Linked DNA regions of Oryzias latipes. The protein of the gene in region 1 binds, or shares a complex with, the protein of each later gene. Links are inferred from orthologs where the notes say so. Each region holds a gene or a part of one and is shown in the gene's direction. Other genes may lie near its edges.

What was found. Proteins that work in one complex are often made in the same cells at the same time.
Region 2: the proteins of bckdha (region 1) and bckdhb are in contact, whole or in part, in a crystal structure (PDB 1V16), measured with the Homo sapiens proteins. The link is inferred for Oryzias latipes from reciprocal best matches to the Homo sapiens genes BCKDHA and BCKDHB. Residues at the interface, in NP_000700.1 of Homo sapiens: Phe155, Leu185, Gly186, Lys187, Arg189, Gln190, Gly196, Cys197, Lys198, Phe202, Val203, Thr204, Ser206, Pro208, Thr211, Pro214, Gln215, Val217, Gly218, Ala219, Tyr221, Ala222, Arg225, Gly244, Asp245, Ala248, Asn251, Phe252, Thr255, Leu256; in NP_000047.1 of Homo sapiens: Pro89, Thr90, Val92, Asp117, Arg118, Phe120, Asn121, Thr122, Pro123, Cys125, Gln127, Gly128, Ile129, Gly131, Phe132, Ile134, Gly135, Ile136, Val138, Thr139, Asp158, Gln159, Asn162, Glu163, Ala165, Tyr167, Arg168, Tyr169, Arg170, Ser171.

What each region holds. Positions count from the first base shown.
Region 1 is NC_019871.2:5,002,750-5,010,805, forward strand, and holds the start of bckdha (2-oxoisovalerate dehydrogenase subunit alpha, mitochondrial), read left to right. Parts: upstream 1-3,951; 5' UTR 3,952-4,153; coding exon 4,154-4,276; intron 4,277-6,215; coding exon 6,216-6,392; intron 6,393-6,472; coding exon 6,473-6,559; intron 6,560-6,625; coding exon 6,626-6,734; intron 6,735-7,131; coding exon 7,132-7,293; intron 7,294-7,364; coding exon 7,365-7,571; intron 7,572-7,652; coding exon 7,653-7,794; intron 7,795-8,056. UniProt on the Homo sapiens protein: Together with BCKDHB forms the heterotetrameric E1 subunit of the mitochondrial branched-chain alpha-ketoacid dehydrogenase (BCKD) complex.
Region 2 is NC_019874.2:4,124,707-4,132,887, forward strand, and holds the start of bckdhb (2-oxoisovalerate dehydrogenase subunit beta, mitochondrial), read left to right. Parts: upstream 1-2,859; 5' UTR 2,860-3,656; coding exon 3,657-3,843; intron 3,844-5,423; coding exon 5,424-5,501; intron 5,502-6,870; coding exon 6,871-6,939; intron 6,940-8,181. Other genes in the region: dual specificity protein kinase TTK, read left to right, coding at 1-34, 121-297, 405-501, 581-669, 747-815. UniProt on the Homo sapiens protein: Together with BCKDHA forms the heterotetrameric E1 subunit of the mitochondrial branched-chain alpha-ketoacid dehydrogenase (BCKD) complex.

The sequences.
Region 1 (8,056 bases):
AGTCACCGGATCATTGCTGGAAATGTGAACCTGTTCATCCTTGGGTTTAGTGAGGCAACATGACCTCTTCCCTTTTGTCAGTCTTCTCTGAGGAAAATTACCGCCTGTGTTTACATACCGCTGTTGGCTTTGGAGCAGCCTCGGGAGGCTGATAACCAACGCAAAGAAACACAATGAGTTCCTATTGTAGCAGGAAACTGCGATCAACGCCGTCACGCCTACGTTTGTGGGGAACGTAAACATCTTGACAAGAGATAAGAGCAAGTCTGGACCAAGAGATAATCAAAGTGATCTCACCACAATCAAACTGTCCATTTCTAGTTTTGAACCCTAAACTCTTGAGGAGCAAGACCAACTGGGAGGAAATAGTAGTAGGCAGTAGGCCACTGAGGCCTTCCCATCCAACAGGCCGGCTTCAGAAATTCCATTCAGGTGAGACACCAGGCATGACCTGAAGGGGCGGTTCCTTCAAGGTGCTTCATGCCTGGACCGCCACAGCCAGTCATGGCTCTCTCTCTCTTTGGTGCCCAGCAGATTGCATCCTGCTCAACCCTCATTCATTCCAAGCACAACAGCTGAGCTCTGAGTCTACTAAGCAGCTAAATCTGAGCGCCTGGGATGCATCAGGCATCTCCAGCATCACTGTCATCATCTCAAGGTGCTTGAACATTTTGCCCAATAAGACCTGTTGTTTTTTTAAATGTTTTGTTTAACCCTGCTTTGCAGCTGAACTTGCCAACAACAGCAAATGTAACAAGGTGGAAATGAAAAGAAAAACAAAATGTCTTCCACCACCAAAGCTACAGTAACTCTGATCAGCTGGAAGCATAGAAATAAACAATTTAAAAAATACAAACAGTCACATTCAACAGTAAAATGATTGCCTATTCAATTTCAAATTGATTTTAAAATTGAACCACTGGTTTTTAGAGCCTTGCATGGTCAAACCTCGACTTACGTCTAACTCCTCATACTCTTATGCCCAATCCTTGAGGTCTTCCGACCAACATCTCTTAGGCGTTCCAAAAACCCACTTTAAGAATGGAGGAGGTCTCCCTTTTCAAGCTGTCGCTCCTCGTCTTTGGAGCTCCCTCCCGCCGCGTCAGATGGATTCCTTTGAGAGTCAAGACGTTTTTATTCAGAAGAGCTTTTAGTTGATTTTACTCAGTATTTTTTTTAAATTTTATTTAGATTTTCAGTAGGCCTTGTTAATATTTGATATCTGTGTTTGGTTTGATTTTATGCCATCTTGTTGTAAAGCACTTTGTGATGCTTTCTGTGAAAAGTACTACAGAAATAAAGATTATCTATTTTATTCTATTCTATTCTATTCTATTCTATTCTATTCTATTCTATTCTATTCTAAAATCAATGTAAAAGGCTGTCTGGTGGTTTTATGAAGTTTTCTGGTTTTCAAAGAGGAATTATACAATTGTATTGCCACAGGAAGGAAAGACCTACTGTGGTGCTCAGTCTTGGTCAAGGAAATTCTTAGTTTTTCTAAGATGTGAAGCCATGATCTGAGCTTATCCCAAACACGCAAGACGTCATTGAGGAAAACGGTCAGAGATAATGGACTTGTATATCACGCACCATTTCCTGTATCGCCAATAAACCTTAACTGGTTTTTCTTTTCCTTATTGAAGTGTCTTGAGGACCCACGCAGACCAGCAGGAGAGTTTCAGAATGTTCAGACCTTCAGGATCTAACTTTTCTTAAATAAACAAAAAAATAAACAGCAAAATTCTCAACTTTGTATCGTGGCCTAAATCAACGAGACAGCCTGGATGTTCATTTGAAGGTTTCTGTCTCTTTGATTTTGCTTCAACAAGATGATTTACCGTCAAATAATTTGCCTAAATTTTTCAGTGGCTAAAAATTTGTTTTTTTTTTTATTGCAGAGACACATGTAGGGATTCTTTTCTATTTTCACAGTTTCTGCTTTCATTTTTGAAACGTTTCATTTGTTTGAGACATTCTGTGGCTGTTTCAAAGTTAAACCTGCACTTTTGCTCAATTATTTCATTGTAAACAATTAAACAAATCACAATGTTTGAATAGGTCTTAGTAAGAAATAATGTTGTAGTGTTCATGAAAACAGTGTTGGATCTGAATCACTGTGGGCCGGTCAAATCAAAAAAATAGATGAACAAAATGCAAACACACAAGGGAATGTTGTCACTTGGCCGTCTTCTCCAAAGCTCCACCCAAATGGTTTAGAAATTCAGCACCTCGGGCCTGGGCAGCCCTCCTGTGAAAGACGACGTGTCTTTCTCGGAAACGAGCCACCGAGGTCAGAACACCGCGCCCCGGACACAGACAGAGGGTCGCTGCTCACCTGTCTCTGTTAAATGTTACATGTGCTGCTGTTGGATGGAGGCACTCAGCTGTTACTTGACTTTAACACATTTAAAAAAAAAGAAAATAGTTTACAGGAAATCCAAAAAGAGCACACCAATCTGATTTCAGGTACCTAACAGCAGGTGACCTCAGCCGCTCACCTTGAACCTTCAGGTGCTTCAGGTGCTCCACTTCCTCAGCTGGGATCCCGCATGGCTCCCTCCACAGCTGCCGATCTGGTAAAACCAGATCGGCAGTGAGTAGAGGCCACCGCTCCTGTGGCGTTGCTGTCAACAAACGTTGTTCCTTTGTCATCAGCAGAAATCTTCCTTCCCTGCATCTTCTTCTTTTAACCCTATGATCCATTCTGACAAAATAAAGCTTCTCCACATGTTCAAGCTCAAGGATGGCATCACACCTGGACTGCACATGCAAGTGATTCCATTGTCACAGTTGGCACAGCACATACAACACAGAAAAAAATGAATACATTTTAGAAACACAGTTCATTTTTTATTTGTCTGTTTAATGAAAATTATAAAAAAAGAAATGAAGTTGTCATCTGTAAAAAATAAATGCTTTTATTCTTATTTTCTTCCTGCAGATTGCAACCAGGTACTAAAATAAAAGTAACATTTATTCAGGAAAATACATTTTTTACTTCTACTTAAATGAATTAGTGCTAAAAACGTTCATTTTGCTGAATTTTTATTTCCCTATTTGGATACACATTTACCCTCTTTTTAGGATATAAAAACAGAACTGTACAGATGTAGGATAATTAGTCATGAATTGATTGGAAAATACATTTACTTACACATAAATCCGCATACATATGAAGAATTCCATAATACTTACTCTTAATCAGAAATAGACAAATTAGCACTCATACCAAACCATGTCCCAAACTTACTCTCTGTATTTGATTATTTTTGTAAATATGACTTGTTTGTATAGTTTGTATATTATTATTTTTTACATCTATAATAGCTGTTTGCACCATGAAGGAATGCAATTTCATCTGTGCTGTATAGCGCGTATTTCACAATAAAGCTGACTCAAACTTATTCATACAGCATATGGCACAAAATTATTTATTAGGTTTTTCAAACGTAGTTTATTTAATTGCTTGAAAAGGAATGGGAGTGAAGCCAATTTACATAGCCCCCCCCCCCCCCCCATGATGCTTTGCTTAATTTTTCTGTCTTTGTAATAATTAAAACTACTCTTTTATCGTTATCCAGTTCTTAACTTCTGATCAATTATTTATACCTTACCATCACAATTACTTAAAACGAAAGTACTTTTCTTGAAGCAGTTTTATTTTAGTCATCATTGAGATTACTAAATTTGTTTTTACTTAATCTAACACCTTTTAATACTTTATAGGTCACAGGAGGATTTGATTACTAATTACATGAAAATGATCATAAAGTCCATGTATGTTTATGATAAAAAAAATTGTTTTAACACACACACACACACACACACACACATATCAAAGGAGGTGGGAAGTATGAATAATGAAATGAAATTAATAAAAAATACATTTGAATAATCCAAATAATCCAAACAAAATTAGTTTATTTCAAAATAAAACTAGTTTTATTTCAAAATAAAACTAGTCTTATTTTGAAAACGTCACAGCTTAGTGCATATTGTGTCTAACTTGGCGGCTCTTTTAAAGCGACCGGGCCTGGGATGTGTGATTATTTATGAGAGTATATAACATTTAAGAGTCAGTCGGTGTAGCTCGTGCAAATCTATTCCGTTTTTTTCAACCGATTGTCTCCTCCGTCGAGAGTCCACATCGATGGCGGCCGTTGTTGTTAGCAGCATGATGGGTAAAATGTACGGGCTGTGTTTCCATGCTGTTCGTCAAACAGCTGGACTAAAGGCACCCTGGCTCCTTCATCGCAGAGCCTTCAGAATCAGCGTAAGTTTGAAACTGTTGGATTGGTTGTGTTTTGGGTGACTCCCAATAAATAACCTGCAAGGTCGATGATGAAGCTAGCAGGTCCTGCTGAGGTTATCTGCTAGTGTCTTGCTAGCAACAGAGAGATCATTCAAAATGTATCATTTCCGCGTTGTCACAGCAGATAATCTTATAATATAATCTGTAAGTGACTTGTTACGAGAAGGTTAATGCACATTATGTTGCTACTAAAAGTAAAGAGGAACGCATCTTTAATTTAAGTTATCGCGATGATTAGTTAGCTAGCTAGTCATGCTAGTGAGAGTTCACAAACAAGTGTTTTATTCATAAAATAATACTTCATTAATGTAGTCACGTGCTCGACAGATTGACGCAAAGCTGTCTATATTTTAGTAAAACTTTATGCATTAACCCTAACGGCAATGCTGGTGTCAGGGAGGCGTAATGTGTATTTGTTTTGGTTTACCCAGCCGGTTAGCATTTTAGCTAGCTTCAATTCTATTGGTGGACGCCGGGGGTGTGGGAAGGCATCCTGCGCGGTGACCACTTTCAGTGCACCCAAATAAACATATATTATTTTAAATGGTCTAATTTGGTACTCATCGGGGAAGTTTGTGTGGCTGAATCTCACGGGTTTTTAGTGAAGAACATGTGCCAACTTGGCTACACTTTAAAAAGATCACAATTTGGAAAATAGCACAATAATTTGTAATTAATGTACAACCAGGTGCATTATATTCGCATTATGATGTGATGTTTTACCAAGTAGTAATGAAACAGTGTATGAGAGGGAACCAGTGGTGCATTTATTATACATCGTCTCCTGCTGATCTGGAGTCAGGTTGCCCAGGCAACATTCTGAGCAGAGATGCCCAGAGCTCCCTCACAACAGAAACTTCCTGGTTCTCCTCCCCCACAAAGGTGCCAGCCAAGAGACCGTCTGTCCTGGGTATTCCTGGGTATTCTCCAGGACCTAACCCTGGTGGAACATACCTGGAATACCTCACCAGGGAGGCATCCAAAAGAGATGCCTAAACCTCCTCATTTGGCCTTTCTTGCATCATATTTTGATGTAGATCTTTTCTACTTAATAAGAACATACCCAATTGTTTAGTAATTAAAAATCAACGTAAATATTTGCAGGAAACACAAATACACAGAATCCATCCATTCAATCATTCATTCATTCATATATGAATAGTCCAATCAATCGTAGAAAAACACAAAACAATAAAAGATGCAGTGCCAAGAGAATATAAGAGTTGAAAAAAAGTCATACATTTTGTTTTTAAAAAGGCAGAAATAGAAAAATACAAAAATAACAGTAGTAAAAAAATATTAAATGAAAGAAGTAAAAGTATTAAAAAGTAAAGAATATAAGTTGGCTAAAAGAACAGAAAATAACTTTTCTAGTGTTTCCACATATACGACTGAGAGTCTATGGTACTATTAAATAAATAAATAAATTAAGTTGTATTTATAGCTTGCAGCTGTAACTTTAATTATTTAATTTCTTTTATAAAATACAAATTTCCAGGAGACAATAACCTGAAATTCTTCACATTTTGGAGCTAACAGTTTGATTAGAAATTAATTGTATAACTTACTTAAAGCATTCTCCTTAAGTACATAATTTCTCTGAAAAGATTTTCTAAGATAAACGTTTGAAGCTAAGTTCATGACCTTTTCTCGGGACTGACATAGGCGTAAAAAAATGCAAAGCAACAAACATCACGGTTGATTACATCAGCAGTTCTTCAAAGTTCAGCGAGGACGGAGCTAAAGAGCACTGAAAATATTCTTAGCAAAGGTCATGTTTTGTAGCCTTTAAAAAAAAAAAGGCGTTGTTTGGTGTTGAAGCAGATTAGACAGACATGCATGCGGAAAGCGCAGCAATCATTTATCAATGATCAATAACGGCCGGTATTGAACCCGCCAGGCTGTGCACCGCCAGCAGCCTTTTGACTCGTCCTTGGAGAAGCCTCAGTTCCCTGGAGCCTCGGCGGACTTCGTGGACCACCTGGAATTCATCCAGCCCAATGTCATCTCTGGGATCCCGGTGTATCGTGTGATGGACAGACAGGGGAACATCATCAACCCTTCTCAAGACCCTCAGGTCTGCCAGCTTCCCAATTAACCAGAGAGGATGTCTCTATGAGCTAAAACTGGAGTGTTTTTTTTCTATTTCGTTCTCAGCTCTCCAAGGAGACAGTTTTGAACTTTTATCAGAAGATGACGATGCTGAACACAATGGACCGGATTCTTTACGAGTCCCAGAGACAGGTACCCGGACCTTCCTGCGTTTCGAACCGCCTAAAGTGAAAGTTTAAACCGACGTTTGCCTTTCAGGGACGAATCTCCTTCTACATGACCAACTATGGAGAGGAGGGCACACACATAGGCAGTGCTGCTGCCCTTGAGCCAACCGACATGGTATTTGGTCAATATAGAGAAGCTGGTAAGCATCAGATTAGACGTTAACTTCCTCTTTGTGAGGTGAATTTCCCTCCCGATTCCAGACTTGTATTCTGCAGCCTGTGGGATGCCATGCAAAACTGGACGTTTGATGCTTAGTTCTCGTTCAAAGCTCCGTACCAAGCTGTTGTAGCTGTTTGTTTGCATTGTGCTGTTGCAGCAAACTTTGCCTCACTTGTATAGAGAACATCAAATCATCTGAAAATACTTCTTTTGAAAGGATATTCTTGTGCTACTTTTCTGATGAAGAAACTAAGCTCAAATGTGCTTTTCTGTGTATTTTTTTATTCCAATAGATGGTATAAAAACCTATAAAACTGCTTCAGTCAACTTGCCGATGTGAGCCACAAAGTGAGACAAAACGTCTTTGTGTCCAACAGGAGTGCTGATGTACCGCGGTTTTCCCCTGGATCTCTTCATGGCTCAGTGTTACGCCAACGCCGATGACCTTGGGAAGGGCCGCCAGATGCCGGTCCACTACGGCTGCAAAGACCTCAACTTCGTCACCATCTCCTCTCCGCTGGCGACGCAGATCCCTCAAGGTGAGCTGCCGTTTTGGTTTTCCGCTCTGCGAGGATGCGCCGGCGCTGACGTTCTCCTGCGTCGTTCCCAGCCGCCGGAGCTGCGTATGCACTCAAGAGGGAGAACCTGAACCGCGCGGTCATCTGTTACTTTGGCGAGGGTGCGGCCAGCGAGGGGGACGCACATGCTGGCTTCAACTTCTCCGCCACCTTAGAGTGCCCGCTGATCTTTTTCTGCCGCAACAACGGCTATGCCATCTCAACCCCCACCAATGAGCAGTACCGAGGAGACGGCATTGGTGAGACTCGGCACAGGATGACAACCCTTAAGTTTGTTTGTTTTTCTGCTTCACTCTGCCTGTCGTTCTGTTGTTGAACAGCTGCTCGGGGTCCCGGTTACGGCATGCTATCCATCCGCGTTGACGGCAACGATGTGTTTGCCGTGTACAATGCGACAAAGGAAGCGCGGCGCAGGGCGGTGGCCGAGAACCAGCCCTTTCTGATCGAGGCCATGACCTACAGGTTAGTTCAGAACCCGTTCTTCCAAGAAGATGAGCGAAGAGCATCTCCAGTGTTCCGGGCTTGTAATTTTAAGCGATTATGTGAAACACATTCAAAGTTTCATTTGAAATTCTTGCGACAAGTCCTCTTTAGTGTCTACAGTGCCAATCGTGTAAAGTTGACCTCGTCAATTCAGTCTCAGCCGTGCAGCTGGATTTAGAGTCAGACTCCAGTTCAGACGAGGAAAACAAAGACGTTCGTGGATCGTTATCTACATAACAAA
Region 2 (8,181 bases), on another chromosome or scaffold:
TACTTCCTCCCAGTCTGGCAAAGCTCGCTCAAAGGTTCTTGCCATCTTTGAAGCTGATCTAACAGGTTTGATGACAGTAAACCGAGCAACTGGGAATACTGACTCTTAATTGTCATACAGATAAGCCCCAAAGGAGACGTGTGGTCGCTCGGCTGCATCCTTTATTGCATGACTTACGGGAAGACTCCATTTCAAAGCATCACAAACCAGATGGCCAAGCTGCACGCCATCATTGACCCCTCCCACAAGATTGAGTTTCCTGATATTTCAGAGAGGGACTTGCTGGATGTTCTAAAGGTAAATGTGAAGTGAGACTGGTACCTAAACAGCTAGAGTAAGACATTTTGCTCTCTAGAATGACTTGATATTTAGGTCAAATGTTGTGTTTCTTTTGTTTTTTCCAGAGGTGCTTAGTAAGAAACCCTAGAGAGAGGATCTCGATTGTAGAGCTGCTGGATCATCCCTATCTCCAGCTGAAGCCTCAGGCCTCACCTGAACCAGGTACATCTGATTCTGAGAAGGAAATATTACCAGAAAAACCAATCTGCCAATGTAAGTTTAAACCTGACCTGCATTTCAGCAGAGCATCCATCTAATGGGGACCTTCAGAGGATCCTGACGGACCTGGCCGCTCTGCAGTCTCCAAACAGCATCATCCGAGCTGCAAATGTGAGATCTGTTTGGATGAAACGTAATCTCACAGATGGTCCTCTTGAAATCCTTAACTTTTCTTCTCTCTTAAACAGAATTTGGCAAAAATGTGCAGCAGTGGCAGGAGGCTGGATGTTGCAGAATGTGCAAAGTCATCCACTTAAAGATTCTGGAAAGTGTGACGTGGACGTTTCTTCTTCTTCTTTTCTGACCTCCTAGTGACCACTAGGTGTTCTGCTGAAAGAACCAACATGTTCATGTTTGTATATTAACATTTTTCTGAAGTTGTCCTTCTGAGTGATGTTTACTTTTTTATTTTACTTTAGATGTTAAAAATTTTAAGCAAAACACAACATGGAGAAATAAACAAACTGTGTATCCTACAGAGTTTCATTCATACCATTACCAATGGTTGCTGACCCTTTGTGCTCCTCGTTCCATGGTTAGGATTTTGACATGATCGAAGCAAAGGATTCTGCACATCACCTGTTCTTTTTCCCTTAATTTTTTCAAAATGTTATAAACTCAATATTCTCAAAAACATTAAAAAAAAACATAAAAACTCGAATCCTGCCACTGCCGGTCCCAAGCCTGGATAATAAAAGAGGAGGGGTGAGTGAGACTTTATAGTGACTGACCACAAAAATGTCACAAAAAGGAGATAGAAATAAGTAAATAAATGCTTTTAAGAGGAAAGGGAGGTCACCGACATCAGTCAATATGCTTTATTCTGTGAGAGTCATGAATGTGTGCCCCAAAATAGAAAAGCTTTGGGTGAAAGATTTCCAAGATCAACTAACTCTAAAACTAAAAGTCTGGCCTGATGGTGGCGCTAGAGAACAGGTCAACTCCCTGATAGGTTTCATTATTAGGGAGCTATTTATGTATTTAACAAGTGAACAATGTACCTAACACAAAAACGTGGTTAACAATTTTATGTAAATCATTTTCTACAGGCAAATATCCCTGGGGTCAGATTTGCCCATAGGGTGAAATGTGTTTGTAATATCTAAGGATAATACAAGGCCAAAAGTAAAATTTGGGGGGGGGGGGGTAACTTTTTCATAAATACCTGAAAAAATGTTGATGTAAATTTGACATTACATTTGAACTCATTCACAGCATAATTCAGTCATATTCCATGAAATGCATTATCATGAAAATAAAAGGATGTGCATGTTAGAAACAGCAGTATAATCTCTTATTTCAATGTAGAATTAACATGTTTTTGTTTTGTTTTTTTCAAAATAAGGCCCGGTAAAACTGGTACCCAAAACAACACAGTAAAAGTCATATTCTAAGTTTTGGAACTGTTGCAACCAGTCTAACTGGCAGTTTAAAAACACACAAAATAGAAAAGAAGGGATACCTTTGAGTTTTTTTGTATCAGGATGTGCAGTCCAAGCCCAAAACTATACTAAAAAAAATTACAATTACATTGGCCCCACACACAAAAACAGGCTGTTAACTAAGCCAGCATTCCAAGTCATTCCATGCTGCAAAACATCCAAAAAGAAACGGCTTTAACACAGAAAGGGGAAATGATTGTATTTCATTAAAGTCCCACTTCGTTCATCTTTAGATCTATTTTTAAAGCGTTCCCGGTGATCTTTTAGTTATGATTATGGTCTTTTTAGCCAAAATAATAAAAATGTAAAAAAAAAACTATCATTCTCTGGAAAGTAGTTTCTGCAGAGCGGCAGGAGTTCACCAGAAATTCACCTCTGAATTGGCCTGACTGTTGGCATGGAGTAAGCCCCCCCCATTTGACATCATGTTTACACTCTCCTGAAGGCTTACAGCCCCTCACACCCCCAACACAAGACTATGGGTGCAACAAAAACGGTGAGTAGTATTGGAGGTATTCAGCAATACAGCTTTGATCCAGATTCCAGAGGAAAACAAAGACGTCCGTGGATCTACAAGGGGATGCATCAGAATGGAGCGGAGCAGGAAGCTTGCTGTTTGGAGCTTTATTGTCACAGCTACAAGCTTTTTCAAACCGCATTTTTTTTCTATTTGAATAAAGAAATACTCAAATGCATTTTAATTTTCTTTAAATATGTTCATCATGAGAAAAATTATGAAATACAATAACAGAAAAATATTGAAGCACTGTAACTAAAATAGTGGGGGAAAAACCTTCCAAAGCAAATTTTTTCCCAAGTGTTTTTGGATCAATTTTATCTTTTATTTTAATTTTATTCTGGCTGAAATTCAGTACATTTTTTGTCATTTGAGTGGCATCAGTTTTATCCATAGACGGTAAAAACAAGTCTATGGTCCAATCTTTATTTGTTTGTTCGTTCGTTTTTTCCTTTAGAGAAGTGAGTCTTTTCGGGCAGAAAATAAAGAAATCATTTGGAAAATGAGACTCATGTTATTGGATTCTAACGAGCTTTTCCTGTACTGCAAAGTTCTTCGTTAGTTTTAAAAATACAGTGTAACACTGAAAGGACACCGTATTTCTTCAAGTGCATTTTGTTTATGAAAATAAACAGACTTCCATCCACCGCTTACACCGCCCTCTCTTTTAACCAATCACAGGCATCGTCGCTTCAACACGGTGCGCTTCAATTTAAGAAAGAGCGCTCACTCTGCTCCCACACATTACAATAAAACATTTATTAATGTAATTATTTTACCTCTAGTTAGTCTGCTTTAAAAAACGTGTTGACCAAGAAATTTAGACCATTTTAAAATCTCGCATTGGCCATTGCTTTTTGGGTTATTTTTTTTTTCTTTTTTGCTGCACTGTGTATAACATTTATTTAGGATATAGCTACTATATTATTATTACAATGTTGTTGCATTTTTAAAACTCTAATCGTAATAACCACAGTTAGGACAATGTGTCATTAAACAAAGTGTGCTATCTATTTTGTCCATATTTTTCAAATTAGAGTGTTCCATGTTTTCTGTACCGAGTGGTGCCATCTTTCCAACAACACAGGATCTTTGTCACTTCTCTCGCTTGTCCTTCCTGGTCACTGACATCAACAGTGATGGCGGCTGCCGTACGATTCTTCATCCGAGGTGCAAACTCGAGACTCTCCGTCGGTACCGGGACTAGTGGCTCCTTAGGAGCAGCTTTGCTCAAACTTTCTCCGAGCTGCAGCTCTCGTTCTAAAACACAACGGAGACATGCAGCCCACTTTACCTACCAGCCTGACCCCGTCCCGACGCAGTATGGTGAGTGAGTGGCTCCTCCCCTTACCAACCAACCGCCGGCTAGCGCCGTCAGCTAGCATCACCTAACAACGGCAACAGAGTTTACAATGATGAAACGTCTTTTTACAGACTTCACAAAAACTGCAAAGAAGCGATTAAATTATATTATCAATGATAAAGTGGAAATGCAACTATTTCTGACGAGAAAAACCTAAAGTTTTATCAATATTCTTGATCATTCTGCTTAAACCCAAGACACAGTCTTTCGACTTTTATTGTCGAAACAAAATCTCTAATTTTGAGGATTTAAATATCATTGTATGATACATTTAATTAAATATATAAATTAACGTGCAATGTATGGACATGATTTAATATTATTAATCACTAACAAATCAGCCAAGCACAGGCTCAGAGCAACAAGTGAAGGTTTAGTTTATATTTACAAAAATACCTTTTAATTAATAACAGAAAAATTACAACACATCCTCTGCATAGAAACAAGTCTAATGACTTTAAACAAAAAGGACAAACTCCTATTAAACTGTTTAAATGAGTTGTTTTCATCAATCACTTACTATAGGCATGTCCAAAGTCCGGCCCGTGGGCCAAATATTCAAATTTCTGACAGGTTCCTGTCATTATTAAATCAAAAATATCCAGAACCCAGCACTTCCTAAGGACTCTGTACAGTTTCTGAATTGTGATTGGCTGAATTCCCTCCTAAGGAATGATTCAAGTCCTTCCTCTCTTCCTCCCATATTCCTCTTCATCGACAGTTTGTACTCTGCAAACTTTTGTGTTTTTCTGATCAGAACATCAGTGTTTTGTTCTTCTGATTCAAACTCTTTGTTTTGTTTTCCTGGTCACACGACTCACATATAGAAGTTTACTGTGAGCATTATATAAGAAACTAGAAGGAGCTGCATTTCCAGAAGAAAAAGCAGGGTTGAATGCTATATTGCTGAATGAAAATGAAACTTAAAGGGTAATAATGGGGGGGATAATTAAATAAAGAAATGATCAAAGTTGACCATGAATAAAGTGAAAGCAGCACAATAACAAGAAATATATTTTTGTGAAAAATGCCAGCGCCGGGTACCGAACCAACGAGCTTCTGCACCAAGGATTCCCCATTGATTTAAATGGAGGCAGAAATCCTGAAATATCTTGAAAAGACAAGGATTTGAAGGACCAAAGGTCAAAACTGGAAAAAGCTGAAAGAGCTGAACATTTTAATAGTAGAATGGTTTAAATAGCAGAAATATTGTAAGAGTGAAGCGCAAAGAAAAATGGTGGAAGATTATAAACAAATAATGAGAAACAGGAAAATAATGGGTTAAATGCTTTAAAGCAATGACCCAATATATTTCACAAAAATATCGTTTTTGTTATTGTGCTGTTTTCACTTTTTTTTTTTTTGCCAATTATTACCCTTTAAGTTTCATTTTCATTCATCAACATAGCATTCAACCCTGCTTTTTTTTCTGGAAATGCAGCTCCTTCTAGTTCTATATTGAGTTCTATGACGTTGGCGATCATCATCTGTTCCAAGATTCATTTTGACACTTCTTTGAGTTGACTCTTGTTTGCATTGCTAGGTGAAACTCAGAAGATGAACTTGTTCCAGTCGATTACAAGTGCCTTGGACAACACCCTCTCCAGTGATCCCACTGCAGGTAAGGCGAAGAGACAGCAAATGGACTATTACAAGGTAAAGGAGTCAGGGTTCTGCTGTATATGGATGCCATCAGTTCAGTACAGTTTATCAAGCTAAAGCCACTCAGTTTAGTTGGAATTTACAAAAATGGGCATTTATTAAATTCACATAAATTAACTCAGAGATAAAATAATTTACCATAAATTTTTTGGACCTTAGTTCACAATTAATATTTTCCAAAATTGACCGTTCGCTTTATAATCCGATGTGTCTTATGTATGAATCCTGGTTGTACTTCAAGGATTTTCTGTGGTACACAGCTCTCAAAAATCTATCAAAATGCTTTAGTAGGATTTTGATAAACTACAAAGCCGCAGTGCTTGATGGATTGTTGGAGCACTACAGTAACAGTAGTCAGGAGCCTGTGTACCCAATATGTAGTATGCTTTGACATAATAAACAGGAAAAGGGAGTTTATTGTTTGTGTTTTCTGTTTTACAACTAAACAGTGCTGAGTTTTTGTGAATAAAGTCTGACTTATTGCAGATAAAAGCGATGCACACATGGTATTATGTAAGACATTGAATATCCTGAAGAATTAAAACAGAACAATAATGTCTATCATTCTGGATTGAAAATCATTACTGTTGTCTGATATTTTGTAAATACTTGAAGCATTAAAACACCTGTCAGAAGCTTTTCTTCAGTTTTTATCGCAGTTGTCCCATTCTTGTATGATTTTTGTCATTTTTTAGGAATTTTCCCCCCACAAATTCCTAATTTTGCAGTAATTTTTGAGCATGTCTTTAGGAACTGCCTATGTTTTTCTTTTTCATCTTGTTACACATACCACAGTTAAAAATAATAGAAAACCACTCGAATCTATCATGTTTTAAACTACTATTTATGACGAGGACTTTTTGTTTATATCAGGTAAAAATGACCAGGCCAAAGTGATGGTGGAACCTTTTATAGCCAAAGTGTTTTAGGGTTAATGGTAGGAAAAGGTGTTATAAGGATTTTGAAATATCCATAAAAATCTTAAAAATAGGATCAGAAAAAGAAAAAGAAGCCTAAATTTTGCTAAACATCCAAATATCTCATCAAAAGGACCTGAAATCCTTACAGACATTCATCCAATATGTTTTCTGAGGAGATAAAGATAAAGATGTTTTGCTGAAATGCTGTAACCAATAACTGAAATGGAATAGGGAATTTTAAAGCATAAAAATGCCGAAATTAGTGTTTAATTTGTTTCTATTTGAAGCTGAGAGGTGTTTGCCTATGTCGAGGAAGCACAAGTTGCCTATTCTTATGACTTTTCCCTCCTTTTGTGTCTTCAATAACTCTCAGAGTGGCTGACTTGGGTTTGTGTGTTTGTTTTGCAGTTATCTTTGGTGAAGATGTTGCCTTTGGCGGAGTCTTCCGATGCACTGTTGGCCTGAGAGACAAATACGGTAAAGATGCCGTCTGCCTGACTAAATGTACAGCTACCGTATATTTGTATCTATTGTAAGTGTTCTTTTAATTAGGATTATGCCGCTTTTAGCCAAAAGTCTGTGTCATTTTTTCAAACCTATTTTCTGAAGAGCAGCCGTAGTTCATCAGAAATTTGCCTCTGAGTTGTGGGCGGAACTGTTGGCGCAGAAGTAGCCCGACACTGATATCCCATCATTCCTTCGTTTGCACTCTTTTCAGCTAGCTTACAGCCCCTCACAACCCCAAGCTAACATTTACAAAAAACAACCCCTAAAAAAGCGTCGCGTACGGTTTTGAGCCAGATGGCAGTTCTGACGAGGAAAATGAAGATATTAATGCGGGGGGGGGCAATTATTTTGACTCACGGGCCACATGGGGTTCTAAAATTGGATAGAAGGGCCGGACCAGGAGCAGATGTGTGGATGAGAAAGAAATACCATGGAATCTGGATGAAAACATTTGGATAGAGAGTTCTATTTTAAAACAGAGCATTTTAGAGTTTTTAGGGAAAAACTTTTGTTCTCAATTTAGAGCCAATTGCACCAACGGCTTGATTTACCTCATGTAAAACTTAGGAAAATGCTGCGTTCATGTGGAGTTTGAACAATAGGAAGAAGGAAAAACAACAAATCTTCAAACACCACATGGATGATGGAGCAGGTCGCCAAACCTTTTCTTGTGAGGCCACAATAACTCTTTTTCTTTAAACTTCTTTGATCTTTCTTTTATTGTAAAGCCTTATGATAAGGTTTTATTAATTCATGATCCTTTTAATAAAATAAATAAAACTATTTATGAAATAAAAAAATGACCAAATAACTGATTTTCAAAGACAAAAAGTCAGCAAAAATTTTTCTGATACATTGATAAAAAACAATAAATAGTGGATCCTCTCCCGTCATTTTCCCGTTCAAACTGAGCAGCTGTGTCCTGCACGTCTGTTTCTCATCCAGTAATAATGAAAAAAAAACACATTTCTACGTCTTTGGCTGCAGCTAAGCACTTTTCTGTGTTACCTTTTCAGCAGTACAGAGTTCCACCGTTTATTGCAGGAGTTACGTTCTTTGTAGGAAGAAAGGCGCTAAAGGCGCTATACAAGTATACGCCAATAACCGTGATCTGTGAAATCCACAGCGTCTGATTACAGACGTTTATGGCAGTAAAACTCCTCACTGCCCACTTTCTACACTTTTCTCCGACAGACATGAACATTTTCACAC